Xenopus tropicalis: one gene and its partners. The protein of the gene in region 4 purifies or fractionates together with the protein of the main gene of each other region. This does not show direct contact. Links are inferred from orthologs where the notes say so. Each region holds a gene or a part of one and is shown on either strand. Other genes may lie near its edges.

Evidence for each region. Proteins that work in one complex are often made in the same cells at the same time.
Region 1: the proteins of cluap1 (region 4) and ift57 purify together in Homo sapiens (affinity purification with mass spectrometry; 4 studies listed by BioGRID and IntAct, counting the BioPlex papers as one, with this or other methods). This does not show direct contact. The link is inferred for Xenopus tropicalis from reciprocal best matches to the Homo sapiens genes CLUAP1 and IFT57.
Region 2: the proteins of cluap1 (region 4) and ift27 purify together in Homo sapiens (affinity purification with mass spectrometry; 3 studies listed by BioGRID and IntAct, with this or other methods). This does not show direct contact. The link is inferred for Xenopus tropicalis from reciprocal best matches to the Homo sapiens genes CLUAP1 and IFT27.
Region 3: the proteins of cluap1 (region 4) and ift46 purify together in Homo sapiens (affinity purification with mass spectrometry; 3 studies listed by BioGRID and IntAct, with this or other methods). This does not show direct contact. The link is inferred for Xenopus tropicalis from reciprocal best matches to the Homo sapiens genes CLUAP1 and IFT46.

What each region holds. Positions count from the first base shown.
Region 1 is NC_030678.2:103,602,850-103,609,777, reverse strand, and holds the end of ift57 (intraflagellar transport protein 57 homolog), read left to right. Parts: intron 1-971; coding exon 972-1,062; intron 1,063-2,427; coding exon 2,428-2,499; intron 2,500-3,155; coding exon 3,156-3,278; intron 3,279-3,803; coding exon 3,804-3,875; intron 3,876-4,380; coding exon 4,381-4,512; intron 4,513-5,301; coding exon 5,302-5,364; intron 5,365-5,451; coding exon 5,452-5,518; intron 5,519-6,013; coding exon 6,014-6,192; 3' UTR 6,193-6,430; downstream 6,431-6,928. UniProt on the Homo sapiens protein: Required for the formation of cilia. Plays an indirect role in sonic hedgehog signaling, cilia being required for all activity of the hedgehog pathway.
Region 2 is NC_030680.2:123,414,351-123,422,338, forward strand, and holds part of ift27 (intraflagellar transport protein 27 homolog), read left to right. Parts: intron 1-2,400; coding exon 2,401-2,480; intron 2,481-2,655; coding exon 2,656-2,715; intron 2,716-3,620; coding exon 3,621-3,680; intron 3,681-5,927; coding exon 5,928-6,045; intron 6,046-7,106; coding exon 7,107-7,216; intron 7,217-7,988. UniProt on the Homo sapiens protein: Small GTPase-like component of the intraflagellar transport (IFT) complex B that promotes the exit of the BBSome complex from cilia via its interaction with ARL6. Not involved in entry of the BBSome complex into cilium. Prevents aggregation of GTP-free ARL6.
Region 3 is NC_030683.2:80,567,719-80,575,706, reverse strand, and holds part of ift46 (intraflagellar transport protein 46 homolog), read right to left. Parts: intron 3,934-7,988; coding exon 3,854-3,933; intron 3,263-3,853; coding exon 3,069-3,262; intron 1,368-3,068; coding exon 1,296-1,367; intron 78-1,295; coding exon 1-77. UniProt on the Homo sapiens protein: Forms part of a complex involved in intraflagellar transport (IFT), the bi-directional movement of particles required for the assembly, maintenance and functioning of primary cilia. May play a role in chondrocyte maturation and skeletogenesis.
Region 4 is NC_030685.2:20,708,560-20,716,547, reverse strand, and holds the end of cluap1 (clusterin-associated protein 1), read left to right. Parts: intron 1-2,719; coding exon 2,720-2,792; intron 2,793-3,994; coding exon 3,995-4,108; intron 4,109-4,229; coding exon 4,230-4,285; intron 4,286-4,934; coding exon 4,935-5,114; 3' UTR 5,115-6,131; downstream 6,132-7,988. Other genes in the region: nlrc3 (NLR family CARD domain-containing protein 3), read right to left, coding at 7,841-7,931. UniProt on the Homo sapiens protein: Required for cilia biogenesis. Appears to function within the multiple intraflagellar transport complex B (IFT-B). Key regulator of hedgehog signaling.

The DNA.
Region 1 (6,928 bases), on a different chromosome or scaffold from region 4:
TAAGAGAGGTTATCTTGGTGAATGACATTTGGCCACTGTATATTACCTAGCCAATTGCATTCTTAAAATCCGCTATGCCAAGAATGGCTGGGGCAGATTTATTATTGTTTGAGCCATTCAGCTTGAGGAATCTTTAAAGGAAACCCTGCGTAAGTTTAGGAACTCACAGGGCTTTCGGGGGCAAAAAGGCCTCATTAGTTGAGGTATTTTTCACCTAAAAGCTGCCAAACTTTTTCTTATTTAAGAAAGCCCGCTGGTAGAAAAATACCTCAATGAAAGTTTTTTTTTTTTCCCCGAAACCCTGCATGAGTTTAAAAAACTAATATTGTCATCATGAGCTCTTGACACTGTTTCTGGAGCACATACTTTCTTTCTCTCCCCACTTAAGAAGCCCATGAACAACTGAAAAAGTTTCTAGAATGTCACTGCTACATCCTAATTATAGGTTTTTAAAAATCTTACCTTTCATTGGTTAAATAACCATACCCCAGGAAGATTTCAGATGCAGGGGCATTTAAATAGGTTTTTATATAATCCACAGAGAAAAGAGAATATAATATTACACATGCTTTTTGGTGGAAGCACTCCATGACTCCGCAAAATGTTAACAAGTAGGGGCCCTAATTCATATGTGCTTTGTAAACTGATGATAAATGTTGCATGGTCTGAGTGCCAGAGCATTAAAATGACAATATAATTATAATAGTTATAGTTTGTTTATTCACAGTAATAGCCTACTACCTGATTTTGTTTCAGAAATTATTTTAAAGAATAGTAAATAAAGTAAGTTAACATTAGAAAGATTATTATATGCTGGTGCCTGTTAAGAGGGGGTGTTAGTGATGATAAATAAAGTAAATGATGCAGGGGAAAGCAGAAAGTAGTATATTTGTAGGGTTCTCAGTGTAAGATTTTTATAAGTATGTTTATTGTATCTAATCTGTCCGTTGCCATGTTCTGTATCATTATAGGCCTACATACCCAACAGAAGAGCAAGACGAAGAAAATGTAATTGAGGACGATGCTGAGTTGACTTTAAACAAAATTGAAGATGAAATTGCTGTGAGTATCTGCACGGCTTTTGTATTTTAATGCAATTTGTATCCCTAAAGGCACAGTCAGTTAGAATTGGTAAAAAATAATAGGGATAGAAATATGAAACAATCCTAGTTTTAGTTTAAGCTAGGTTTAAATATCTTGTAGCTCTCTGTTCCATAAGAATCCACTGGTTCTGCCCACTGCAAGATTGCTGGCATTGCAAAATGTGACCATGCATGGGAATGCCCAGATTGCACCTTTCTGACTGTTTGACCCAGGCCACATCATGTGGAATTTCAACTGCTAACTACTGTGGGTCAGAACATGACCCTATACATGAGCAGGTAATGGTCATTTTTCAGAAATGAGGGAGTCAGTTTGATAACATATTGGGTCGGATTCACTAAAGGTGGTTAACACGTAACGCATAGTTTTGTGCATTAAAAAGTGTTCGATAATTAAGTACCGAATCATCAAAGTCTTTTTTCATTCGTTACTACTCATATCGCATGTGCAAAAAGCCTGATTATGGCAAAGCGTTATTTCCATCGCATTGAGGTAATTATTGAATAGAAATAATACTAACGTGTAATTCACAAACATATTTGAAGCATTAAAAGCATAAAATGTGGCGATAATTACTGTGAAACTTAACGCCACCCACGAGTAGGCGTTACTAAACAAAATTGCAGCTGGTGATTGTCTGTGGTGACAAAATGGACTTGTCATGCATCCTCCAGTTTTCAGGGAAATGGTAATTTTCAGAACAGTAGTTTTCAGAAAGTAACGGTTACGTGCGCAATAGCGTGCGCTAATATCGCGTGCTACGAAATAACGCATAAATATATTGCATGGTTTAAAATAACTCTTAAAAATATGTCATTGCCAGAATAACGACAATTACATCGCTTCTTAATTCTGACAAGTGTCCTCTTAGTGAATTGATCCTTAATTCTCAAAATATAAGAAGTGATAATATTTTTAACGCATGCTATAAATATCACTCGTTTTTTCGGACTTGAGTGAATCGGCCCCATTGTGTTGGCACAACTAAAAAAAGGTAATTAATGCTATGCCAGTGGCATGGCGCCTAGCAGAGCAGTAAAGAACTAGGAAGCAGGTTTCTAGTTATGGCGGTCACTTATAGCATTGAATAGAACTGCCAGGCCTAGAAAGAGCACTGGCTAAGAGAGGGTTAAAAAATGCATGTTCCCTTTAATGTACCTTTTAAGAATAACTTTTTTTTTTTTTTACTATGTAAAGGCATTGGATGTTTTCCATGGAAAATTTAAAACATATACTTGTGATGTGAAATGATGCTTATGCACATATTTTGTTGTCTATGTACTATACATGTATAAAAGTTAACTAAAGCTGTATCATTTTTAGGAAGAGGATTCTGACAATGATCAGGAACATTTTATTGATTTAAATGCTCTTTCAGCACAAACACAGAAACTGGTAAGTTACATTTTTGTTTCATGAATGTAAATATACGATATATATAGGCTTTTAAAATGATTTTATTATCCACTTAATTCTAGGAATACAATGTCCTAGGGATGACTCTTTGTTCTTCATTTACTAGGATAGAAGCAGTGCTCCCCTTTAGGCCTTTTAATAGTGAAGAAGCACAAAGAGTGAAACACTGAGGTGCAGGTTCAAAATTTTAGCCCCTGTTTTCTTTATAAGTGGTGGAAATTGGGCTGCCAAGCTCTGCTGGAGACCAACTGCCACCATGGCTAAAGCAAGACAGAACTGAAAGATTCTGGGCACGATAGGGATGAAGTTAGTTATAATATGTCTGTATCCTTATGATACTTATTCAAATAAAACAAAAAAACATGTTCCATATTTCTAAGTAAGACTAACATCGATTTTAATGGGGGAGATTCTGTTATTGTGCATACAACTTTACCTATGTTCACTGAGTTGCCGTAGAACTTTCTCAGATGAGGCACTCTTTATAGGTTTTAAGAGAATAGTGCCACCTAGTAGATGTTTATTTCTGTGGAGAATGTATAACATCACAAGATACCAATTTGTTATGCATTAAAACTGAGTGCTGAATGGCCTTTTGTAACTTCACATATAAACCTATTTCTGTATTACTTTAGAATACAAAGGAATCTTCCAAACCAGAAGAGATTTTGGAATCAAACACAGATGCAGCAGAATGGATCCTAGAAGTGGAACGTGTTCTGCCCCAGCTTAAAGTCACAATCAGGACAGACAACAAGGTCTCATTGTTAGACATCATTCTATTATTCCACAGCACTTTACAGAGTTGATCAGTGCTCACATTATTCCCTTCCGCAGTGGAGCTTACAGTCAAGTTTACTACAATAAGCATATGCACACAATAGGGTCTGTTTATCGAGCAACTAAGCCATTCGGTGGTAAGGAAATGAAGGGTCAGCTGGAGGAAACACAGTCACAGAATAATTTAAGGCAGCAATGCTAACTACTAGGTCACTGTGCTGCCATTTTGTAAGTTTGTATTTTCTGCCTCTATATATGGTAGTGTAAATCACATAACCTTATCACTGTCTGACCTCTGCGATTAGTGTCTGTGACTTTATAAACTTTTTAACCAAGCTTAAACAGTAATGGATTGAATTTCTCCATTTCATAACCGTCATAACAGTAGCTGAGAAAATCACAATTGGCCTGCTTTTTGTAATTATCATTTGGTCAGTATTCTAATTACCAGTTAGGTTTACTTTTCATTTATTTATATTCATATTTATATCTTTGGCTTATAGGACTGGAGGGTCCATGTTGATCAGATGCACCAGCACAGAGATGGCATTGACACATCCTTAAAGGAAACCAAGGTAAAGTTTTGTTTAGGGTTTTTTACCTATGACCCATATTCAAAGTTAAAAAGAGTTTGGGAACAACACAAGCTTGAAAACAGTTCCTGGGGTGCCAGAAAGGGCAGTTTTTGCTATTTGGTAGCCCCATGTGGACTGGCAGTCTATACTTTGTTTTTATGCAACCAAAACTTTCCTCCAAGCCAGAAATTAAAAAATAAGCACCTGCTTTGAGGCTCCTGCGAGCAGCATCCAAGGGGTTGGTGAGCAACCTGCTGCTCATGAGCGAGAGCCACATTAGCAGGCATAACTTTTGTACAGCTACATTTTGTGAGCCATAATATTGTGTGTGTTTGTGTAAATCTGGAAAATACTTTGACAGAGAACAGGAATACGGAATTCACTGACTTAACCTATAGATTAGCACATTATTGAGTGGGAAATAACCATGTTTTTTATTGGCAGTTTTATATAATAGATGGGTAATGGATTTTGTTTTTTTGGTTTTTTTTTGTTTATACTGCAGGGATACCTTGACAAACTTCACAATGAAGTTGCCAAGGCACTGGAGAAAGTTAGTAGCCGTGAAAAGTACATCAACAATCAACTGGAGCAGCTGGTGCAAGAGTATCGATCTGTACAGGCTCAGCTGAGCGAGGTACCCTCACATTCTCACTTCATTGTTCTTCTGTTTTTCTTTAGAAAGACAAATTAAAAACTGTTCAATTCAAGAAGTGCAGACTTAAGTCCTTAATGCAGTACCAAGGGATTTTATCCTTGAAGGCTACTACCATTCACAAACTACATTACACAGTATCCCCACTACACTGTGTGAATGCCCTGGATTCAGCCCCACTGAATGCAAGTCTTCTCAGCCTGACAGAATATGCACTAAGGCCATGGGTACATGAAGTGGAAAAGAGGGAATTGTATACTGTTAATCTTATATATCTCACCATGACTAAACATGAAATAGCTTCAGTTTCCCTGTTTAGCTCAGGAACTAAGAAAAGATTTTCATGAATGAATCAAGAGGCAAAAAATATCTTCAGAACAAGCCCTGTTCATAGGACTTATGTTGAACAACAGGGTATATTGTAGCTGCAGCATGGTGGCACTCACTGAAGGCGTCGCACAATGTTTTAGCTATATTTTTACTTGTAACATAGGCTTGCCTTAGGTGAATTTCTGTTTATTGTGAGTTGCAGACATGAATAACACAGTGTTAGTCTCTTGGAAAAAGAGTCTTTCAACTGTATCCTTTCTATTTTTAGAGACAGGATTGTAGACAACAGTTACTGATGAGAGACAAAGACCAAGGGTAAAGAGGGGTGTATGTTTTGTATAATCTTAAGTGATTTGGCTTATATGTAATTGATACTGTACAAATGAATGTTGGGTTAATATTTTTACATGCAAAATTATATTTTCGGGTTTCCTTTATTAGGCAAAAGAAAGATACCAGCAAGCAAGTGGAGGGGTAACTGAGAGAACCAGAATCCTCGCTGAGGTAAAGCATTTCCTTTAGTAATAACAGATGCAGTGTCATCATGACTTCATTCCTACTTTACATATTTCCTTTGTGCTTTATTGTCAGATAACAGAGGAATTAGAAAAAGTAAAGCAGGAAATGGAAGAAAAGGGGAGTAGCATGACTGATGGTGGTGAGACTTTTTTTTATTTTATTTGTTTATTGTTTATCTGGTGTAACTGGAAAAGCACATGACTTACCCAAAAATCATTTCCCCAAACAGGACTAAATATTAAGTAGCAAGTTACACAAAGCTTAACTTTCTTATAACCTTCTCTGCAAGTTGGTATAGCATAGGCCAGCTGTTGGCAGTATTTACTAACCTGGCCTCCTGTTTGCTGTCTGTTTTGTGTGTGTTTACACATACAGGTGCAGCTACTTCTAATGTACATTAGCAGACTCCCCCAGTGACCACAAACACTTACTTTTTAGCCAGGTGCACCTCCTCTGTAAATAGCACAGCACCCTGGAGTACCTTTGTTTAGTGCTGTGCTACAATCATAGGCAGATAGCTGGGAGGTGACTGAAGATGGCAGTAGGGCACTCAGTAGAAAAGTAGCCAAGGCTGGTCTGTTTGTATTAAAGAAGAGGAGTAAAACTGATTTTATTTATTTCATTTTTCCTGCAGCACCACTGGTAAAGATTAAGCAGGCATTAACAAAGCTAAAACATGAAATTGTCCAGATGGATATAAGAACTGGGGTAGTGGAGCACACGTTGCTTCAATCAACGCTCAAGGAAAAATCCAACATGACTCGAGATATGCATGCCCTTAATATTCCTGAATCCTCAATTGGGGCCTACTGATTGTAAGCTTCTATGCGCCATTTCATATACTGTATAAATCTGTTTGTAAAAAAAAAATTTGAATATATATTTTTGTTAACTATATAAAAATGATTTTAATATTAGTTTTATTTTTTTGTTTATTGAATTTTGGCCAGTCATTACTAGTTTAGTGAAATTGTGGCCTTCTTTATGTTTGTAAGTGTAGTGGTTTGTTAAGTTTGTCTCTACATAAATAAACCATGTACAGAAACCTACATCATAAGCAAATTCAGTACCTGTCCAGCAGGGGGCAAAGGGGTGAAGCAGTTGTGTGCAAGTTGCTTTTTGTCAACATAAGTTCCTGTGCTACAGTGTGCTTTGATTTACCCATATATGTTTAGGAATTATCTGGGATATTTACCTCCACCCCCCTCACCATACCATTCTTGCTTATGTAACCTTTAAAAGGAGCAGTGGGAATCTGAATAAATTCTTGTGTTCCTGTGCTGGGCAAATGTGTTAATGTGCTGGGAAGGTGGTTGTTGTGGTTTTTCAGATCACTTGCAAATTCAGGGACACATCTAATAATTACATGTTACAGGGTAGCACTGATTGCATTTAAAATAAAGTGCAATCGGTTCAGCCTTCGTAGATGGAATTTCTAGACGTTTACCTAAATATTCAAGTGATATGGTCACCCTACTCTAACTCAATCACTGATACTTTGATGTCCCTAATAAGTGATCAGAGCCCCCATATGTAGCATTGCTGATAG
Region 2 (7,988 bases), on a different chromosome or scaffold from region 4:
AACTTTGACAATTTTGAAGGCCTAAAGCATTACTGTTATAGAAATGCTAAACCTTTAGGCTGGTTCAATAAAGGTATAGTGACATGTTCCAGTTTTTAACAGGAATTTGTCACTCTGCCTTCATAAACCCTAGCACTGCAATTTTTCTCTAATGAATGTGCTCCTGCCTCCCCCCAGTTTACCGTTTTCTGCTGCATGGCGTAAAGTTGAGCAGCTTCCTGGTTTACGTTACACTGTGGTGGCAGGGCAATGTTCTCATTGAGGCACTGTTAGCATTTGTCCTCCAGCCTATCAGAACATTGTCCCAACCCCAAGTGTGCAGAAGCTCATAAAGCTGTTCAACTTCAAGCTGTTCCGGAGACGGATACAGGTTAGTAAGGGGAGAGCTGGGGGGGGGGGGGGGCATTTCTACCCATGATGTTTTTTTACGGTTTAGTTCTCTCTTTTAATGGTTGAACTAGACAGACTATTGTGTTTTATGTTCTGGTTGTGTGTATAATGATAAGCGTGCAGTGTTGTAGCACAGAGTAAGTCGTCCATCAGCAAAGAATTGGCTTGTGTTATTTTCATGATTCATAGCACATAAAGGTAATTGTGATAAATGGAAAGCTCTAATTGCCTTAAATATATGCTTTATCTTTTTATTGACCTTTATTTTAACACCCCCATTTTTTGCGGCTTATGCCTTCCCTTTATATGAGATTATGCACCCTCGAGGGGGCAACAATAAAAGGGCACGGCGTCCATTTATTAAAAGCCTTGTGATAATACCACTGTTTACATGACACTTAAAGTTACAGCTACCATGTGGCCTCAATTGGTGGAGTAAGTGGCAGTGTTGATTATATACATTACCATATTATGTATAAAGAACACAATACTGCCCAACAGGGCGCATGATTATGTAAGGGAAGAAATTGCATGTCTGGAGTATGTTAGCTGTGAGTGCCATTAAACAGACTAGTGAGCAGCGGAATTGCTTTACCCATAATTACAGACCCCTGAAGAGTTTATTGCGCTTGTATTAAGAAGCCATTGAGACCTTTATTGGTACAAAGTGGAAGAAGGGGAATGTCCCTGGCTTTGCTACGTGATATGGCGGGTGGCTCTGTGTTTGTGCTCACCGAGTTGCATTTATGTTGGGCAGACCAGACAGTGTATAAAGACTAGGCACATAAAGTGTATTTTGCAACAGTACTATCAGCTGGGTTATTTGTAGAATATTCTAAGGGAGAATTTACAAGGAGGTTAGGGATGAGCATTGGTTTTGGTATTGAGAAAAATAATCAAATCTCTGCCTGATGAACAAGAATCTGCCATTTATAAAGCACGTTTAGAATCACCATATTATAAACATTGCTAATTTTAAGCAGGTACTCAGACAGACAGAGCCAGGCTAAGTCAGGGAGGTGCCAAGGCAAACCCCCAAACCATAGCTCTCCCCTATGCTTATCTCTCTGATACAAATGGCCTTCGTGTTTTGGTACTATCCAGCATGAAACGCATTCGGTCATTTGTACCCTTCACAATTAAAATAATTTTTTTTTTTTTTTTTACTATGCCTGTCTCTCTATTGATTCTTTGAGCGCCTTCTTATAAAACACATTTTATTGGATATTGTGTATCATTTTAAAGGGGTGGTTAAGTTAAATAATAATATGTTATGGAAAATCCTATTCCTAGAAATTTGAAATTGTTCTTTATTATTTATTTTTTATAGTTTTTAAATGGGAGTCACAGACCCCAGTACTTAAAAAAACTATCACTGAACTTACAATTTTATCATTTTTACTTTTTATTCCTTAATTTTCTTTTCAGTCCCTTTCTAATTCATATTTCAGTCTCTCGTTCAAACCACTGCCTGGTTGCTAAGGTAAACAAGACCTTAGCAACCAGACATCTGCTGAAATTCTAAATTGGAGATCTACTGAACAAAAAGCTAAATAACTGAAAAATCATAAAAAATGAAAACCAACTGCCAGTTGTCTCAGAATATCACTGCCTGTGTCATACAAAAGTTAATTTAAAGGTGAACCTTCAAGCTAAAGCCCAAGGACATGTGTTCCTCGAATCATATAGGGTGAACATTATTCTGCAATATTTCATCGAACAAGGTGAGAGGAGGGCTTGAGTATTTCTGCTGAGGAGGGGTTAGGAAATGGTCCCTGCGAATCAGAGACAGGCTCTAATGGTTTCCTCTCAATCTGAGGAATCGGGCATGTCTGTGTAAAAAATAAATCTATATATTTATTTCTGGCAGGTCAGATAGTGTTATGCACCATTTTAGCATAGCCCCAACTGAAGGAACTCATGTCAACAAGTGGGATATATTTTCCTTTAAGAGCTGAAATAAAATGTTTTGAGTGAAGGTGTGTGACATATGTTCCTTTGCTATCACAGGTGACACAACTGTGGGGAAAAGTACCCTGGTCCAACTCTTCCGGAGTGATGGGAGCCATTTCCCAAAGAATTACAGTATGGTAGGTCATGCCGAATAGAAATACATTGAATTTATGGTGGATATAGGCTGCAGGGTACCAACGGGATTGGGAAGTAGTGTCTGGGTTTCTGGATTTTGCATGTTGTTGGCGCTGTGTACATTTGATCACCAGTACTGACATTTTCTAAACTACAATGTCATTTTTTGCCTTGCAGACCACTAGCATGGAGGTTTCTGTAAAAAACGTTCAGATACCAGATACTGGAGATAGTGTGGTAAGGGTGCTTTTCTGATTTGTAAATATCGCTCCTGTAGAAAGCAGTCTTTTTCTGGCCCTTTCTGCACAGCTGGTTCTGACTTTTAAAGCAAAGTAAAAGAAGCCAGCTCTCATTCAGCCAAGACTCCCACAATGCTTTGAATGTGTGTTCACAGCTGGCTTCTTCTACACTGGTTGTAGTTTTGTTTTTTGTTTTTTTTTTTTAACAATTTTATTTTATTTTCTGTAGATTCAACAATTATTTTCCTTTGCAAGGTTAATCAAATAAGGGTTGGTTGGAGAATCGGAGACATTTGTGAATAGGGTTGCCAGCAAAAGCCAGACAAAGGTTGTGGGACCAGGCCCATATTTACCCATATAGGCACTTTAGGACCCAAGCTTAGGGCAGCAGCTTTAGTGGCGATGCTCTTGACTGGTGATATGGGAAATAACATTTTTAGCAGAATTTTTTTTTTTTCACCAGATACGTGCCAGCTACATCCAAAATGGATAGGGGGTACCTGTTTGGACAAAAAGTGACGTAATGCATCACTTCCTACCATGCACAATGATGTGGGGTAGGGGGGTGCGCTGGTGATGTCAGGGGTGGAACCGTGATGTCTGGGGCAGTCCAGTAGGTGGCAACCTTATCTGCGGATTGGAAAATATGGTTATAATATATTTCCCAGATGGTAGGGGTTAACAGCCTGGGGCAGCACAAGCTATTTATACCCACTTGGGTAAAGTTAATTTAACCATATATGCTCTGCCAGTTGGGCATTTTGCACAAATAATAATTGGGCCATAAAACATTAAGCCCAGGGTCACACCTCTCCGCTAACCTGCCTTTTCTGTTTTGTCCATTATGCAGTCTGTTCTGAGACTTCACATATAAGCCCAGCTCATTCCATTGTTCCTTTACAGGAGCTCTTCCTCTGCGACAGTCCTGGCAAAGCAATCTTTTATGAGGTGACGGAGAAGCTGGTAAGTCCCTCTGTTCATTCTGACAAAGCTACTGAAGCCAATCCCGCCGTGCTGAGTCTTACGCAATCCAATCTGAAGCACCTCGCACTATAAGGCTCCTGTCTTTTCTTACCTAATAAATGGTTAGGCTGTGAAGTATACAGCTCCTTTCTACTTGATCCAATCCAAAAATAAATCAGGCAGTTGTAATGCTGGTTCCATTTAAGCTCATGATTATGTACAGAGGTCATTTTATAAGAAACATTATTACCCTGATTTTTCCAATTATAATGGTAACCCACAATGTTTTCTTCTTCTTTTATTCCACGTTAAATGAGGGAAGAGAAAAGAAGAAAAGGGGAGAGTTGACACTTATTTCCCTGTGTAACCAAGGCCCTGGAGAATGCAAATCATTGCATGACTGTGCAAATATGAACACATCTCTTCTAGTTGATTAGTAAGGTTTTAAAGAACCCCTTCTTTTAGGGAATCAGTATGGCAGCTTCTGTCTTAGAAAATGAATGTCCTTAGCAATCAGTAAGGAGCGGCATCATGTTTTACAGCAGTGGTTGTTGGACTTTTTCAGTTCAAGCCTTTAATCAGGTCCCCCTTTTTGCTAAAAAGATACAGGTCATTTAGCTTTAGTTTTAAGAACAACAACAAAAAAGTTTTCCCCAATTGAACTCAGGTGTATCTTGGAGAGCAAGCAGGCATTCTCCCAAAATGTCACTGCAACTGACCTTCAGGTTGCCACCCACCTACAGTCTGCTGTACAGGAATAGAGGAGCGAATTAAGGAAACCCACTCCTAAAATGTACTTTAACATGGAATACACTTAAATGGGTAGTTCACCCATATAGAATGACCTATTCTTAGCAACTTTTAAATTGGTCTTTTTTTATTTATAGTTTTTAAATTATTTGCCTTCCTCTTTTGACTCTTTCTAGCTTTAAAAAGGGGGTCACTGACCCCAACAGCCAAAAACTATTCCTCTCTGAGGCTACAATTGTATTGTTACTTTTTATTACTTATCTTTCTATTTAGGCCCTCTCCTATTCATATTGCTGCCTTTTTCAAAACACTGCCTGGTTGCTAGGTGAAATTGGACCCTAGCAACCAGATACCCTCTGAAATTCCAAACTGAAGAGCTACTGAACAAAAAGCAAAATAATTCAAAAACTTCAAATAAAAAATAAAGACCAGTTTCAAATTGTCTCAAAATAGCACTCTCTACATTACTGGGGTTTAAAGCTCAGCTAGGTCAGAGCAATCCTGGGCTAATTCCTTCTGCTTTGCATATGAATAAGGATATCTCTACAAAAATGTGTTTCTTGTGGATCCACTTCCCTGGCTTTACATATGCTAGGGGGGAAAACTGGTCTGTAGTTGGGAATTTGACCAGCATACTGCCCTGCCTGTTCTTTAAAACCCAATGGGTAAACTTCAGCCTATAGGGCAGTGATCCCCAACCAGTGGCTCAGGGGCAACATGTTGCTCACCAACCCCTTGGATGTTGCTCCCAGTGCCCCCAAACCAGGGAGTTATTTCTGAATTCCTGACTCGGTGGCAAGTTTTCGTTGAATAAAGACAATAATAACTACCAAATAAAGCCTCCTGTAAGCTGATGTGTGCATAGAGGCAGTCTAATAGCCAATCATAGCCCTTATTTGGCTCCTCCATGAACTTTTATGATGCTTGTGTTGCTCTCCAAGTCTTTTTGCATTTGACTGTGTCTCACAAGTATGAAAGGTTGGGGACCACTGCTATAGGGTATCCCATATAACTAGAAATTTTAGGAGCAATCTTGAGCTTTCTTCCCAAAAGTCATTCTGAACCAAGGGTTGCCAAAACAAGCAATTATCAGCAGCTTTCCAGAGAGACTCACCTCTTCCCAGTCATTTTTGACGAAAGAGACTCCAGAGAATTGGTGGACTACTAAGATGTAGTAGAAAAAGGCATATGTTGATAAAAGATCCAATGTCTAATTCACTAGTACAGGCTAATTGAGTACTTTGAGGATAGGCAAGGATAAAGCTTCCAGAGTAACCAATGCATTTCTCACATGAGAATATATGGACAAACAGCGATGCATTTATGATTGTGTATAGAAATGTGTGCCCATCATTTACAGGATCCATGTGGGTACCCTATAATGGTAATTAAAATGAAAATATATGTTTATGGGGGAATGTAGGAATTAGAAATAAGATTTTTTTGTAGCATTTCTATTTTTAATGCTGCTTTCTCTGAATGCTCTTTTTCATGCAGTGGGACCAGCCGGGTGCCCTGTGCTTGGTGTTTGATGTCACCAATGAGAGCTCATTCAGTAGCTGCGCAAAGTGGTTGCAGAGAGTTAGAGCGAAGACATTCAGCCCTCAGCTCCCAGGTTGGTGCCAGAGAATGGAAAGTTCCTTTTCCTTGTGTAGCATGCATTCATTTCTCTCTTATTTTGTGTGTCGCTGATTGAAAGGAGTGAAAGGGCCTCAGGTACTAAAGGCAACAAAGCAAAAAACAGTTGCTTTTTTAGCCACAATGCAGTGTTATTTTGTTCCCTAAATTTCATTGTCACTACTCATCAGAAATGTTGCACCTACTGCCAGGCACGGAATGCACAAATGTGGGCATAAAATACGTCCTTTTGTAAATGTCAGACAAATTGACATCAATGCCACAATATTACAGCTTGCTTGTTGGTTAATGCAATAGAAACCACATACAGTATGAGACCTGGGAGCAGTGCAGTGTGGAAGGTTCCCTTGCACCTGTAGCTCAGCATGCTGCACCACATTTTGCAGTTGGTCTTCATTTTTTGTTATTTGTGTTTTTTTTTTTTTTTAAATTATGTAGCTTTTTGTTTAGCAGCTGTCCAGTTTGGATTGAAGTGGCTATCTGGTTGCTAGGGTCCAATTTAACCAAGCAACTATGCAGTGATTTGAAGGAGAGACAGCAATATGAATGGAGGAGGGCATAAATAGAAAGTAAAAAAAAAAAGTAACCGTAATGAAAAAAATTGTAGCCTCCCAGAGCAATATGGCTGCTGGGGTTAGTGAGCACCATGTGAAAGCTGGAAAGTCAGAAGAGCAGGCCTGGATTTGGGGAGAGGCCACAAAGGCCCGGGCCTAGGGCGGCACAACTTGAGGGCGGCATGCAGCCCCACCACACCAAAATTTTGAAATTTTGTTCTGTTACAGAGCAATGGGGACTTCTCCCCACTGCTCCGTATGCAAGTTCGGTCTTCCGCGCATGCACACGCACCCGCTGTTCGCACATGCGCACTCCTGGGGGCTGTTGTTGGATGGGGAGATGACCAGGGAAAATCCGGCCCTGCAGAAGAGGAAGACAAATAATTCAAAAAGTTTAACCGGAAGGTAAACCATCCCTTTAATTCCTTGCTCCTATTCCATTCTTCCAGTTGGCTAATAGTGTCTACCTCTTTGCTTTTGTAAGGTGTTCTTGTTGGGAACAAGACAGACATGGCAGGCCGCAGAGCAGTGGAAAGGGGGCAGGCAGAAGAGTGGGCAGCAAGCAATGGACTGGAGTATTTTGAGACGTCTGCGGTAATAATCTTTTCTTCTTTTCTATCTTTAAAAGAATAATCACACAGTCCTTCTGTAATAGGAGCCTGTTAACCCTAATGGAGCAGCCCATTGGCACAACTTGCTGTACAGCTAGGGACAACAATACAGTCACTGACAGTGACAAGACCAGACAGACTATTGCCTGGCTCTGCTGCCAGCCCCAATCCCCAGCAGGGAACGCTCCACAACAGGGCCTGCACAACTGTGCCACACCAGGTTCTGTCATGTGTTTATAGTTTTTTGGAGATTATTCTTATGAGGCATACAATATGGCACCTCCCGTCATATTTATCAGTGCAAACAATATGCTCTCTGCTAAACAGGAAGTTGGTCCAGAGAACCTTTGATTTGCCCCATACAATTAGGCAAACTCTGAGCAAATGTTGCTATATAGATATTTTGATGCAGGTCTGAGATTCTTTATCTAATGTCTAAGGAGAGCACCATAGTGCAACCTCTTTATTTACTTCCTCTGTGGCCACATCAGCAACATTCTGTTGTAGGTTCACGTGCGGGCCACACTACATGTCCTTTTAACCAAGATTTATTATTGAGAGAGGTGAGTAGGGTTGCCACCTGTCCGGTTTTGACAGCCCAGTTTTCATAAAGGCTGTCTGGGTCAAAACTGCCTGCCAGGTTTTCCAAATAAGGGAATCTGGACAGGACTCCCCTTGGATGACACGGTGATCAACCAATCACTGATCCCTGTGTCACAGCCCTGCCCCCTGACACAATAAGCCTGGCAACAATG
Region 3 (7,988 bases), on a different chromosome or scaffold from region 4:
TGTCTCCAACTGCTGGAATAAAGTCTGGGATGAATGGTTTTAACTTGTAGTCCAGTTCTACGACCTGTGGGGTGTATCTAAGACAAAAAAAAAAAAAAGAGAGAGGCTCACTGTTACACAAACGTTCACTTAGATCTGTCTTCTTGTGCATTGTCTACTCCTTTGTCTACACGAGGAGAGCACTCCATGTAATTTACAACAATGGAATCTCAAGGGCATTTTTAGAAAGTAATATATACTCTTAAAGAAAATGAGGTAGAAAATGAAAATGCTAAAATAATTTGTTGCCTTTCCAGCTATCACACTATGCATGCTATGGAGAAGATTCCACTCCACTTGCACTAGCTAGAAATTACTAAGCACCCCAGCAAAATCATCAATCCCAAGTAAGTGGAAGTGGGTGGCTGACTCTCTTTTACACTCATGCTAAACCAAGGACTGAGGGGATTTAAGTCTTAGCACAACTAATATCATTGTGGCAAAGAATAAATAAAATACAGGTATGTGACAACATAACTAAAAAGCTGATATCAAGAAAGCTCCAGAGTACAGAAATGCCATCTCCTAAATAGTCCATTTTAAGCAAATAATGACCTTTTTTTAAAAAAAAACAAAAAAACAAACCCTATTTCCTCTGTAAACAGTTCCTTGTATTTAATGGTATATTATTGCAAAACAACCCTACTTTTTAATTTTGATCCAAATTATGGATTGTACCAACAAGCGTTTGCCCCCCTTAAAACATCAATAGAAAAATACCCTTCTTCTACAGGTTAAGAGTCTAATCTCATAAGATATTGCTGCAAAGTGCAATCATTCATCTAGGTCAACTATGGGACAATATATGGGTAATATGGCATTGGTTTTAACATTTCATCCCATTTTCTTTAGCTAGGGGTGGCAAAATTAAATCGGTCAAAACTTGTCAACAATACCCCAGAAATAGAATAGAGTCTAATGCTACTATGCTTTGTATCGCCTGCATTTTTACTGCGGGCAGGAACAGAGGCGGCCCACTTAAAAGCTGCCCACAGCCCGGTACTGGTCCGCGGCCTGGCGGTTGGGAACCCCTGTACTATACAATAGAGATAATTGGATAATTGGAGGGAAGTGTGCAGATGTTCAAACTATACTCTTTGCTGACTGAACAAAATTAAATACCATTGAGGCTAATGGCACACAAAAATAAATGAAACATGTAGGGAAAAACTAGCCGTAACCATATTTCTACAAACCATTTGTACTTTGTCAATGGCACTATCAGTATCATCTCTTTACTTTTACTTTATTCTTACCTGGTAATATATTGGAACAGCTCTTTAATTTCAGCCGTCACTGGAAGGTGTTCATAGTCTGCTGGGTTGTAACTACAAGAGGGAGAGAGAGCAAGTATTGTCAAACTCAGTATTCACAGTGAAAGCATCTACCATTCTGCTACCTCAGTAAAAATAATGTACAAATGTAAAGATATTTCAAAGGCCTATAAGCATAACAGCTGTGAATTATTTTAAATATTACACTGCCATCCCTCCATAGACCTAAAGTTGTGTATGGATGAGGTGAGATTTACATTTCACTTTAGTATGATATGTTGTGTTGCTAAGCACACTTTGTATGCTTGTGCTCTAGAATGGGGGCGTGGTATTGGAGCATTGCAAATACTGTACTTGCCAGTCATCTTAGAATTTTTAGGTGTTTGTTTTGAGAAAGATCCACCAGCAAAATCAAAATATTGACATTAAAATAAATACTTATATTTAACGATAGACCTTAAAACACACATCATATCTTCGTGCCTACATATTATTTCTGTCTGGAATCGGATGATAACATTTTTTGACAGCAAAAGTTTTGTATTACTTTATTTTTTTAATATGGCACAACTACCAGTTATTACAATGTTCATGTGAATGCTGATAATTACAGAAAACTATTTAAAGAGCCAAATAGTAATGAGTTTACAGCAGTCTTTCTAATCACTTACTGGTGATCCCAGCAAAAGCATGCAATTTTTGGGCAAATCTCTGCTTCACTCCATGTAACTGTACTAAGGCCGAAGATGTGCCTGTCAGTGCAGCTAAAACTAGAAGTCAATAGGAGCAGATACACTTCTCTTTGCCTGGCTACAAAACACAGGTGCACGGGCCCTTGCCCTTAGCTTACTAGGCAAATCTGTCCATTCAAATGACTTACGAACACAATAATTAATTCATTGCAAAGTTGGGAGTCCTCTACCAGCTTTTCTCCACTGACTGATTCCTATCAGCAAACAACATGTCAAACCATGTGTTGTCAGCCCTTTTATGGCAACTGCCTGCAGCTGTATATTCAAGTGGCTTTCTGCCGAAAAAAGTTAATGGAAAGCAACGTGCAAGTTGAAGGTATTTTTGCCAAGGGAGAATACATGTGGTGGGCCATTAGCCTTACAAATGACAGACAGTTAAAATAATGTGCTCTTGGTATTTGATCATACATGTATGTAACAAAGAAAACTATAATTACAGAATATTTAATGTGCATGTAACAAGACCCTTGTGGATATTAGTAAGGCAGTTATCAAGTTAGGTATCAGTTTCCGTTATTATATTTGTTAATATAGGCTTTTAAAAGAAATTAGACAGTTTTGGCATGGAAAGATGTCTACTTATTCTTGGCACAACTCAGTGGTCCTTTCATGTTTGATGGATTTGTAAGCTATCTTTATAGAATAGCCTGTTGTGGAAATAACATATAACAAAAGATGGCTAATACTGTTGTTACACCACTGTACTGCAAACTTAAAATGCAAAATGGCAGAAAAAAGTTTAATACAAGAAAAAGCAAATCAATATGCCACAGTAAATTCAGCAGTATTTTTAATCTGACACTATAACTAAAATTACCAAATACTATATAACAAAAACAGAGAATTGTTCTTGTTTTCAGGCACAATTAAGGGTGCAAAAGAACAACAAATATGGCAATAGCCATGTAACTTTTTCATCTTAAAATTCACATTAGCATACCACTGAAAACTGCCTTTTTGTTTTAACTGGCATATGAAAGTATATATATTAATTTTCTCTCACCCTTCATTAGAATTTGCATGTCCTTCTTCATCATCATCATCATCATCATCCTCGTCATCATCATCGTTGTCGTCATCATCATCATCATCTTCATCATCCCCTTCAGTATCTTCTGTATCCTCATCATCTGTAAGCCCTTGTGTGCGAGCACCACGAACATCTCCCAGCTTTCCTGCCTTCTTCTTTTTTCCACTCTGGAAAGCATACACAATAAATGAAATTAACACATGGCAAGTGTGTAGCCACACTACAGCTGGAATGGCACCTATTGCCTATGCATTCTCTAGCATTTTCTGGCAAACATTCCAAACCAACAAGTGATTTGCAGTCCTAGTTCAAGCATTTAATAGGTTCAATGGCTTTGTTTTTTAGAGTGATACTGGAGGATAATTTACTAGAAAAATTGTGCTTCATGCAGGAAACCCAGGAAGCTGGCACTGCTGTGAATTCTCAAATACAGTTTATGTTACTTTGGCATTACTATTACCAAAGTGTACTAGAAGTAGTAATGATGCTTTTCAGCCCAAAAATATTCTTTAGAATATATTTTATGGTGAAAAGCAAACAGTACCAGAGATATTATACAACTAAGTGAAACTTTAGCTAAACCACTTTTCAACTGAAATAAGTCAGCATAGAATGCACCCAGAGTGCCAACAGCCTAAAAGTTATATTTAACTTACTGTCTAATAAAGATTTGGGATATTTTGCCAATAAGTATATCCCATATTTGAAAACTTTGTGTTATAACCTGTAAAATATTATAAAATAGTGTCTATGGTTACCTTTGTGCTCTCTTCATCCTCACTACTGATAGCAAGTTCTGCCATGCCTCTGACCTTGCCAGACATCTGCTTTGCTGTCCCTAGGAGAAAAAATATATGGACTGCAAGACTGTAAAAGCTTTAAAAACATGGCTCAAAGTGGTCAAACATGTTGAGACCCATTCGTTGGGGAGGTCAGCAAACAAGGTAGGCGATATCGGGCTAATTCTTTTATTTGGCCCTAGGGTTAAATAAACAGCAGGCACAGGTGCAGTAGGACCGGAGCCGTATCAATGAGCTGATGCGATCCCCAATCCAACAGGAAAATCAAACCTACCGATCAACACCCAGATATCGATTTGGTACGCCCATCAGGGGGCCCCATACACAGACAGCTAAGCTGCCAAATTGGTCTAAAGGGCTCGAATCAGCAGCTTAAATCTGTTTTGCTGCATACCTCGGTTGTAACGAGTGGTTATTTCAGTCAAAGTTGCTCTTCTATCAGCTTGAATCAGTCGGCCCATTCTCCTCTGACCTCTAGCATCAACAAGGCATTTTCGCCCACAGGACTGCCGCATATTGGATGTTTTTCCCTTTTCACACCATTCTTTGTAAACCCTAGAAATGGTTTTGCGTGAAAATCCCAGTAACTGAGCAGATTGTGAAATACTCAGACCGGCCCGTCTGGCACCAACAACCATGCCACGCTCAAAATTGCTTAAATCCCCTTTCTTTCCCATTCTGACATTCAGTTTGGAGTTCAGGAGATTGTCTTGACCAGGACCACACCCCTAAATGCATTGAAGCAACTGCCATGTGATTGGTTGATTAGATAATTGCATTAATGAGAAATTGAACAGGTGTTCCTAATAATCCTTTTGGTGAGTGTATATTATACACATATATATATATATATATATATATATATAATATATAAATATATATATATATATATATATAAATATATAAATATATATATGTGTATAATATATATATATATATATATATAAAGTGAATAGTGGACTGACGTTTCGGCTGAACACCTCAGCCTTTCTCACTTTGAGAAAGGCTGAGGTGTTCAGCCGAAACGTCAGTCCACTATTCATTAAAGGAATCTTTATTTTTCACATAAGTCCTGTGAGAGCGGCTTCTTCATTTTCTACTTTGTTTCCGAATTTTGGATGCTGCACCCAGGCAAATTTTGAAGTAAAAAATTATTATTTAATCATCGCATCAACGCGTTTCGATCCTCATTTTACTATATATAAAGTCATGGCCAAAATTGTTGGCACCCCAGAATTTTTTCCACAAAATCAAGTATTTTACAGAAAAGTATTGCAGCATGTTTTGCTATACACATGTTTATTCCCTTTGTGTGTATTAGAACAGAACAAAAAAGGGAGAGAAAAAAAGCAAATTGGACATAATGTCACACAAAACTCCAAAAATGGGCTGGACAAAATTGGCACCCTTAACTTAATATTTGGTTGCACACCCTTTGGAAAAAATAACTGAAATCAGTCGCTTCCTATAACCATCAATAAGCTTCTTACACCGCGAATTTTGGACCACTTTTTCTTTGCAAACTGCTCCAGGTCTCTCTTATTGGAAGGGCCTTTTCCCAACAGCAATTTTAAGATCTCTCCACAGATGTTCAATGCGATTTAGATCTGGACTCATTGCTGGCCACTTCAGAACTCTCCAGCGCTTTGTTGCCATCCATTTCTGGGTGCTTTTTGATGTATGTTTGGTGTCATTGTCCTGCTGGAAGACCCAAGATCTCGGCCGCAAACCCAGCTTTCTGACACTGGGCTCTACAGTGCGAGCCAAAATCCTTTGGTAATCCTCAGATTTCATGATGCCTTGCACACATTCAAGGCACCCAGTGCCAGAGGCAGCAAAACAACCCCAAAACATCATTGAACCTCCACCATATTTCACTGTAGATACTGTGTTCTTTTCTTTGTAGGCCTCATTCCATTTTCGGCAAACAGTAGAATTATGTGCTTTACCAAAAAGCTCTATCTTGGTCTCATCTGTCCACAAGGCGTCTTCCCAGAAGAACTGTGGCTTACTCAAGTACATTTTGGCAAACTGTAGTCTTGCTTTTTAGGTCTCTGTGTCAGCAGTAGGGTCCTCCTGGGTTTCCTGCCATAGCGTTTCATTTCATTTAAATGTCGACGGATAGTTGGCGCTGACACTGATGCTCCCTGAGCCTGCAGGACAGCTTGAATTTCTTTGGAAATTGTTTGGGGCTGCTTATCCACCATCCGGACTATCCTGCGTTGCAACCTTTCATCAATTTTTCTCTTCCGTCCACGCCCAGGAAGATCAGCTACAGTGCCATGGGTTGCAAACTTCTTGATAATGTTGCGCACTGTGGACAAAGGCAAATCTAGATCTCTGGATCTCTGTAACCTTGAGATTGTTGATATTTTTCCACAATTTTGGTTCTCAAGTCCTCAGTTCTCTTCTCCTCTTTCTGTTGTCCATGCTTAGTGTGGCACACACAGACACACAATGCAAAGACTAAGGGAACTTCTCTCCTTTTTATCTGCTTTCAGGTGTGATTTTTATATTGCCCACACCTGTTACTTGCCCCAGGTGAGTTTAAAGGAGCATCACATGTTTGAAACAATCTTATTTATCCACAATTTTGAAAGGGTGCCAATAATTTTGTCCAGCCCATTTTTGGAGTTTTGTGTGACATTATGTCCAATTTGCTTTTTTTCCTCCCTTTTTTGTTCTGTTCCAATACACACAAAGGGAATAAACATGTGTATAGCAAAACATGTATTATATATATATATTATATATATTATATATATATATTATATATATATATATATATTATATATATATATTATATATATATATATATTATATATATATATACATACATATATATACACACACACACACACACACAGGTATAGGACCCGTTATCCAGAATGCTCTGGACCAAGGGTATTCCAGATAAGGGGTTTTTCTGTAGTAATAAAACAGTACCTTGATATTGATCCAAACTAAGATATAAAGAATCCGTATTGGATGCAAAACAATCTTATTGGGTTTAATTAATATTTTATTGATTTTTTAGTAGACTTAAGGTATGGAGATCCAAATTACGGAAAGACCCCTTATCCAGAATACCCTTGGTCCCGAGCATTCTGGATAACGGGTCCTATACCTGTACTGATATTAAGCAGTATCTGCAGTAGCAGCTTATCTGCCTGCTATCAGCACTTCTCTTGCACAAGATGTGTTCTGCCACAGAAAATATTTTTAGCTCTCCTTTATTCAGCCAAAGCTTCCATTTATCAGCCCACTGAAGTGACAAAAGAAGTCAGCTGTGTGAATTTATTATCGGTAAACAGCATATGGTCACAATGATTCTAATTTACCAATACAGGTGCTATACTAAACCAGTGCACTTACCCATAGCATGCATTCATTTCTTTGCTTTCTTTTTCAAACTACCAATTAGACAGTACATTGCCGAGTGGTTCATAAATCAGACGCAGAGTGAGGCTACCACTGCAGAGTCAGTAGCAAGTAAGAGCAAGCCGAGTGCTAAAGTGGTTATCAAGTAGATTGGGGTTGGGGCTGCAACTAACGAATAATGAAGTAGAACAGAAGCCATAGCACTCACCACTTCTTTGCTGTGCAATTCTCTTGTTCATTAACAACTGTAACCACAATGAACAACATTTTGGGGGCTCTGCACCTCCCTTCAGACAGACTTCTGTTCTACTTTATTGTTCTACTGCGACGTGGCCATACATCTAAGAAGTAAGCACAACCTGTCAGTTATTGCACATTGTAAGTGTGCGTGGTGCTCCCTACAGAGTATGTTCTTTAACTAAAGAGCACTTATATTTTCCTTAATGGTGTGGTTCACCTTTAAGTTAACTTTTAGTGTGTTATAGAATGACCAGTTCTAAACTACTTTTCAATGAATCTTCATTGTTTATTTATTTGTTTTATATAGTTTTTGAATTATTTGCCTTTTTTTCCTAACTCTTTGCAGCTGACCCCAGCAGCAAAAAAAAAAAAAACTATTGCCCAGTCAGGCTACAGTGTTATTGTTACCGTTACATTTTATATATATTTTTATTCAGGCCCTCTCCTTTTTATATACCAGTCTCTAATTTAA
Region 4 (7,988 bases):
GGTCCTACCCATTGCATTGTGCTCGGTAGAGATTGTCCTTATTTAGTATCCAGGTGTCCCATATCTTTAGGTATAGGTCAGTTTCGTTGTCCAATTGATATTTGAGAGCTTCGTTGGCGTGTATATATTCTATTTTGTCCAGGACTTTCTCTATGGATAGTAGATTTGATTTCCATTGGGCTGCGATATGGATTCTAGTTGCCATGCATATATGTTGTGTTAAGCGTTGTGCAGAGTTATTGAGGCCTTGTAGTTTGTGTCCTAGGAGCATTGTCTGGATGTCCGTATGGAACATTTTAGAAAGGATAGTAGCTACTTTTGTCCAGAGTTCTTGCACTGTTGGGCAGGTCCACCATATATGCCACATAGTGCCTCGTGTGGCGCATTTCCTGAAGCAAAGTGGTGACGATGTGGGGTAAATTCGGGAAAGTCGTTTGGGGACATAAAGGGCCCGATTCACTAAAGTCCGAAATAAGGAGTGCTATTTATAGCATGCGTTAAAAATCTTATCACTTCTTATTTTTCGCTCGATTCACTAAAAGGACACTTGTCATAATTAAGAAGCGATGTTCTTGGCGTTATTTATCTTGCGACGACATATTTTAATGAAAAAAAACTATGCGATAAGCGTTATAGGGGCCGATTCACTAAAGGTCAATAACGCTTATCGCATCGTTTTTTTTCATTAAAAAGCATGCGATAATTAAGTACCGATTCATCAAAGTCATTTCGCATTTGTGTTAATCCGCATATCGCATGCACAAAAAAAATGCATTGCGTTAATTAGCAAATAGAAATAGTACAAACGCATGATTCACAAACACATATGAAGCGTTAAACGTGCAAAATATCGTGTTAATCTGTGTGAATATTAACCCTACTTGGGGCAGGCGGTACTTAAAGAAAATTGCAGTTCGTGAGCTATTGGCAACACAACATGGAGTTTGCAGTCGTATTTTTTCAAGTATATGTTGGCCCTAGAGTGATATATCCTCCAGTTTTCAGGGAAATGGTGGTTTTCAGAAAGTAATGGTTACGTGGGTAATATATTGCGCTCTGCGTAAAATATCGCGCGCTGCGTAATATCTTGTGCGCTGCGTAATATATTGCTTGAAAATATGTCGTCGCAAGATAAATAACGCCAAGAACATTGCTTCTTAATTATGACAAGTGTCCTTTTAGTGAATCGAGTGAAAAATAAGAAGTGATAAGATTTTTAACGCATGCTATAAATAGCACTCCTTATTTCGGACTTTAGTGAATCGGGCCCAATATGTCCTATGGAATAGTTTGAGTGAGGTTTCCATTATAGTTACGTTGTAGCTACCTTTGAATATATTTTGGTAGTTTTTGAGCCATGTTTCTTGGGGTATTTCTGTTTTTAGGTCTTGTTCCCAGTCTAGCATATGTTGCAGTTTATTTTTTGTATGTATATGATTTAGGTGGTGGTATAGTAGAGATAGCGTTTTCCGGCCCATTGGTGAGGCCTCGCAGATGGTTTCCATTGCTGTTTTATGCATGTTTGTTTTTCCCCATAGTTGTTGTATAAAATGGGTTATTTGTAGTGCATGGAAATGTTCAGTTGGGGGTACCTTGAATTTTTGCATTATTTGGGTTAGTTGTAAAGGTTTGGATCCGTCTGTGAGTTGGTAAGCAAAGGATATTCCTTGCTCTGTCCACCATTTGAATGAGTCCTTATTATATCCTGGGGTGAAAAGGTTGTTTCTCCATATTGGTGTCAGTCTTGAAGGCTTTGATGCTAGTTCATATTTGTATTTAAGTGTATTCCATAGTTGCAGCATTTGGCGAGTTATTGGTGATATGTCCTTGAGCATTTTAAGATCTTGAGTCGGATTCCAGATTAAGCTCATTAGAGAAGTTGGTTGTATTAGGGCAGATTCAATTTCGACCCAGAGTGGGGCTAGTGTTTCTCCATGAAGTGGGGCAATTTGGGCGCATCTTGCTGCCCTGTAATATTGTTGTAGATTTGGGACTCCGAGTCCTCCTTTTGATTTATGTAGGCACATTGTTCTTTTATTAATCCTTGGTCTTTTATTGTTCCAAATAAACGTCATAACAGTTCTCTGAAAGCTTTGTAGGTCTCGCTGTGAGATTGCTATGGGTAGGACCCTAAAATAGTACAGCAGTTTTGGTAAGGTCATCATTTTAATACAGTTAACCCTCCCCATCCAAGAAATTTGTTTCTTATTCCAGCCCTGCATTTCCTGTGTTAAACTTCTATATAGTTGGGGGTAGTTGCGTGTGTACATAGTGTCTAAGGTTCTTGTTTTTTTATCCCCCATTTATCGTTCATTTCCAAGTAATACTTGCAAATTTAGCTCTTACTAAGCCCATATTTTAAAAATCTTGGGTTTATATGCCTGGAAAAATCTAATGTGAATTGATATTATTTGCCTCTGTCCCATGAACTGACATTGCATATCCAAATACACTTAAATACCTTAAATACACTGACCCAATATCCCTACCCTTGTCCTGTGTTTTGTTTAAAGGGTTTTAATAATCCCTGTAAAATAAAACATGAACATCTCTCCTGCTTTTTTGGAGGCAGACAGGCCCTTGTATGGTTACTGAGCTGTGTATATAGGTGCTTGGGCCGGATATATTTTATATTAGCAGTGATTCCATGAAGTCCTGCTCAGTGTAATAGCTTGTATTCCTGTGTAACACTTCAGGCTGTATGTGCAATATCTTGCAGGAGGCAGAGAACACTCTGCGGCTGATGCAGAGCAAACTGCGGGAAGAAGAGAACAGACTGCACAAAAATGGCAGTAAGTATGTCTATTTGATATTTTCTGCTGCTTTAGGATCTCTGTTACCCCGGTATCCCATGTCTGTCTACTTGTGTCCTGCTGTTCTTCCTGAGCTGCAACCATCAGGCCCGGACTGGCAATCTGTGGATTCTGGCAAATGCCAGAGGGGCTGCTGTAAGGTGCCATAGACAGTCACTATTTATTGGGTTGGTGGGGGGCTGTTTGGGCCTCTGTGTACTTGGAATGCCAGGGCCTATTTTGACTCCCAGTCCAGGCCTGGCAACCATAAATACCAACATGGAATATGCCAACAGTAATTCATTGACCGCTGGGTGGCCACATTTTAAAGGTCCTTGCTAAAGGTATGGCCACATAAGGCTAGTTCTTGGCCTGTGGATGAACACAGGCCAAAATCAGCCATCAGGGCTGTGACACACGGGGAGATAAGCACCGCACAACAAATCTCCCTTGTCACAGGCGACTAATCTCCCCGAAATGCCATCCCACCAGCGAAAATGTAAATCGCTGGTGGGATGGCATACGTGGCGCCGCTATTTGTCGAAGTCGCGGAAGTTTCCTCTCAAGGCAACGTCCATGACTTTTACAAATCCTGGCGATTTACATTCTAGCCAGTGGGATGGCATTTCAGGGAGATTAGTCACCTGCGACAAGGGAGATTTGTTGTGCAGCTACTAATCTCCCCGTGTGTCACAGCCCTTATGCTATGACTAGCCTGCCCATGGGTCCACTGCTTCCAGTCAGGTGCAGGCACACAGAGCAGATTTTGGTACCAAAATGCACTCGATTTGCCTGTGCCTGACACACTGGATCCGAGTACAGTCCAATGGTAGGCTGATCGGAGTGTAGGGGGTGAGCCTGGTGTGGCATTGGCCTTAAGCTGAGGGCACATAAGGCACAGGCTCAGCCTCTCTCTGCCTGCTTTGTCCATACAGGCTGGATTCCCTTTATGTAAGCTCTAAATGATATAACAACAAGGAACAGATGCGTGTAGCCAGGCTGTACTCCCCTGGAGCATTGTGCTAATAGCCTGAAATCTAGTTTGTATATCTGCTTAAATACAACAAACAATCATGGACACTGAGAGAATGGAATAATATAGAATATAGATGCCCTTGTGAGGTAGAGTCCACACTGAATTTGTCCCAGGAGGTATCCATTCATACTCAGCTTGACTTTAACTCTCACCTCTGCTAATACAGACAACAACGATGACTCAGACATTGAATTCCAGGAAGATGAAGGTTCTGATGATATGGACCCCATGGAGAGGAGAACAGTGAAACCTAACAATGGCCGTATGGTAACCATTCAAGGTAAACAAAAATTGGATTCAACTTGCCATATGACAGTAATTAGGATTAAAATGAGGGTTTAGTAATATCAACTACTTATCATTTGCATCATCTGGAACTTATACTTGTTGTTTCCTAACAGGGAGATCCAGTAGCCACATCGTGGGGACGATGAATGGAGGAGAGAGCGAGGATGAAGTAAGTGCCATAGGCCAGATTTTCTATTCCACTATTGCCCATGATGCTGCACTGTGCTTTACTCAACCTGTATCCAGTCCTGTCCATACTCCATTTCCATAGCAGGAATATCCATCTTTGACCCTCAAGCTGTTTTTAGCAATGACTCTCAGCATGAAGGACAAGGAATGCTGGGAGTTTTAATTCTGTAACAGCTGGAGGGCCACAAGTTGGGCCTTGAGAGGTCTTGCAGTTACATGTTTTTCCCTACACATATACCCTGCACTTGTTTATTTTGTCCCACCTGCCATTCTTCTTTTTGGGGTTATTTCTTACGTTTCTCTGCGCTTTCCATGTCTTTTTATTTCCTTGCTTTCATTACGAGGTGGTGGGGCCGAGTCCTACTAAGAGGCATAGCTCAGAGGCTCACAGCAGTCAGAAACAGGTTGGTATGTTCCCTACCAACACCTTATGCGTGTCTCATTGGGTTAGACTGCAAGTAAGAACCTATTGCCAGTGTCTGAATGCAGCTCATACGGTTATTAGACACGCCTTTAGCCACTCCCATAGTAGTTCCTGGTGTCACACAGGAGAACCTTGTGTTGTCCCACCAACAGCAGCTGTAGTTTTAGTAACGGACAGTCTTATAAGCACCATTTTCAACACACAGGATGATTCCGATGACAGTGAGATAGACGTGGATGATGAAGATGATGAGGAGGAGGATGAAGATGACGATGAGGAGGACATCATGAGGGTGAGAGGTCACAACAAAGAAATATCTTTAGGCAAAGCTAGTCGGCGAGCACAGAAAGCAGATTCACTTGTGGAAAGTGACAATGACTTCTAGAACGGACCAAATCTCCAAAGCCTCGGGACTAATGCCTTCAATTAACTTTGTGTTATAAATGCACCTCCTCTAGAGCATGCAACTAGGAAGTACCACCTGGTTGTCAGGGTCACTGACCCCAGTAACCAAAATAATCACATGAATGTCAGGGTTGAGCTTTTTTCTTTTCTTTTTTTTTATTGTTATTTAAGTTACTCATCTTTCAAACTCCTGCATGGTTGCTAGGGCAATTAAGCCCCAAGGCAGAGAGCGGCAGAACAACCATAACTGTAAATAATTACAAAATAGAAAATGGAGACTAATTCAAATACTGTTGTCTGTATCATGTAGAAGGTTACTTTTAAGATAAATTCTTTATATAGACGTCTAGATTCTGTTCAAAGATGTAACAGGCAGCAGCCCCCATGTTGGGGTCCAGGAGAGAAGGGGCCTGGTAAGAAACCTTGCCCCGCCTATGTTTATGTCACATGCCCTGCAGCAGGGGGCCAGCACCGAATCAACATATGATTTTAGGGAATACGTTAAAGAATCAAAGCACTTGATTGGCGAGAAACACAATTTTAATCCTCCTGTGCATTTATACCGTTATACTTCCCAGATACAGAGCTAAAACACTACATTACAGGCTCTCAGGTCTGCACTGAGATTCCAAATAGGCCCTGGCATTTCGAGCCCCAAACAGCCCCAGCCCAATAAATAGTGACTGTCTATGGCATCTTACAGCAGCCCCTCTGGCATTTGCCAACAGATTGCCAGTCTGGGCCTGCTGGCTCTGCATGTCTCTCTCTAATAGAACTGAGGCTTTTAATTGGACAGTAACCCCCAATATAAAAACCAAATGGATCTTTCAAGCTGTTTGGCAGTTCCATTTCCGTAATCAGCATCTTTTATTGTTGCTATTCTTGCAGACGTGACAAAGTTTGACTTTTGAACTCTATAGATTTTTATGTTGCAGGTAGTATATCCAGTTTTGTTAAACTTGCTGTTTATTTCTATTGTTAAATAAATAAATGAATGGATATTGGAACAGAAGCCTTTCACTAAGTGCACTCTTCCTCCATCAGACAGATGATCAGATCTGTTTGCTGTTCTGGAATTGTCCCAAGCCAAAGACACTATACAGGCAAAAGTATCCGGACACTCTGTCTCAGAATTTCTGGAAGCAACATCAGCAGAAGAACTATTTGTAGGAAACATGGGGGGTTTTATAGATGATCAGAGCAAACAAACCAACATTAGCTTACTAACAGGGCTGCCACCAGTAATCATTGGGCCACATTCTTCTAATTCAGCTGGGGCCCCAGTTATTGGTCAGCTTGGCCCTCTAGGTGGTGAGTCCTGCCAGCAAGTAAAATGGTGATTCTGTTTAAAAAAAAATGCCACTTACATTCATGACTACACCCCTGATCTACCCTGGTCTCTAACAAATTACACCAAAGCTCTACAGTCCTCCCAAACTGCCCACTCCCCTGCAAGCCCTGCCTCTGTTGAAGAATGAAAATCACTCTTTTTCCATCCCTGAGCCCTTGACTGCAGTAACCCATGACTTACCCCCGATGGTGGCCCTGGTCACTGCCAGGCACTCCAGAGCAGGGCAAATACATCGGGGAAATCTCTCTTATGTTCCAGCACAATACAGCCCCCAGGCCCCCAGTCAGAGCGATAAAGAGTTGGTCGAAAGAACCTGATTGGCCTGCACTGAGCCCTCAACCCAACTGAACACTTGTGGGATAAACAAAAACACTGACAATGATCACACCCTGACACCCAAAATCAGTTCCCAACCTCGCAGGGGCTGTATGGACCCAAATTTAACCGTCAATTTCCCAACATCTTGTGGAACCTTCCCAGAAAAGTAGAGGATGTTATAGCAGCAATGGGATGTCCAACCCCATGTTGATCATCTTGGTTTGAGAATGAGATGTTGAAGAGGCAGGCGTCCAGATACTTTTGCCCATATACTGTATGATGGGTTCTGATGGCACCTATATGTATGTATGTATATATATATTTACAGTCCTTTATTAATGAAACAGCTTGTGGGATTGTGATAAAGAACATCATCCGTTCCGGTGTCAATAACAATCTCACAGTTGATGCAGCTTGCATTCCAAGTACTTACACTGTTGTACTGACAGGCAAGAGAAGAGCGCAGTGTCACAACTTTGGCCAACTGGTTTTACAAATAAGTTAATTATAGGTCCTGGATGGTTAAAAAAATCATCTGTATTCAGACCACTTCTGTATTTACCCAGTATGTCAGTGTGGGGCCCAACTGGATACTGTAATAATGCTCCAAATTAACTGTATCCACTGGACAGGTATAAAACGTGGCGTTCTTAAGACGTTTGTGTCTTAAGGAGTTTGACTTGACAGTCAGTGACGGCCACAGTTATGTTCTTGTCTGCTCAGGCTCCTCAGCAGCACCGAGCTGGGCACAATCATCATGGTTTCTCTACGCAAGTGGGGGGAATTCCTTCTCCTCCAATCAATGCTCCGTTGAATGTTTTATTTCAAGAAACTGCCATTGGTTGCCTATTTGGACTCATTACAATCTTTATTAGACTCTTCTAGATGGACTCCCCCCTTAATAACATGCAATCCATTGGTCCTTTTCAAACTCCCACCAGCCATGTAGATCACCTCCATTCTGTCATTGAAGGTAACCTTTTGTCCTGTATTACAATGGGGCAGTTTACTTTTGCTCGCCTGTGGATTGCATTGATCTAAATGTCCACCTTGCAGTGCGGAGCGCTATTCTTGATGGTGTCGGAAATCACCTTGGCTCCTGATTGGCCAATATGGTTGCCCTGCAAGCTGAAAGCAACAAATAATATTTTACTAACCAAAATGTCAGAATGTTTAAAGTGTTTT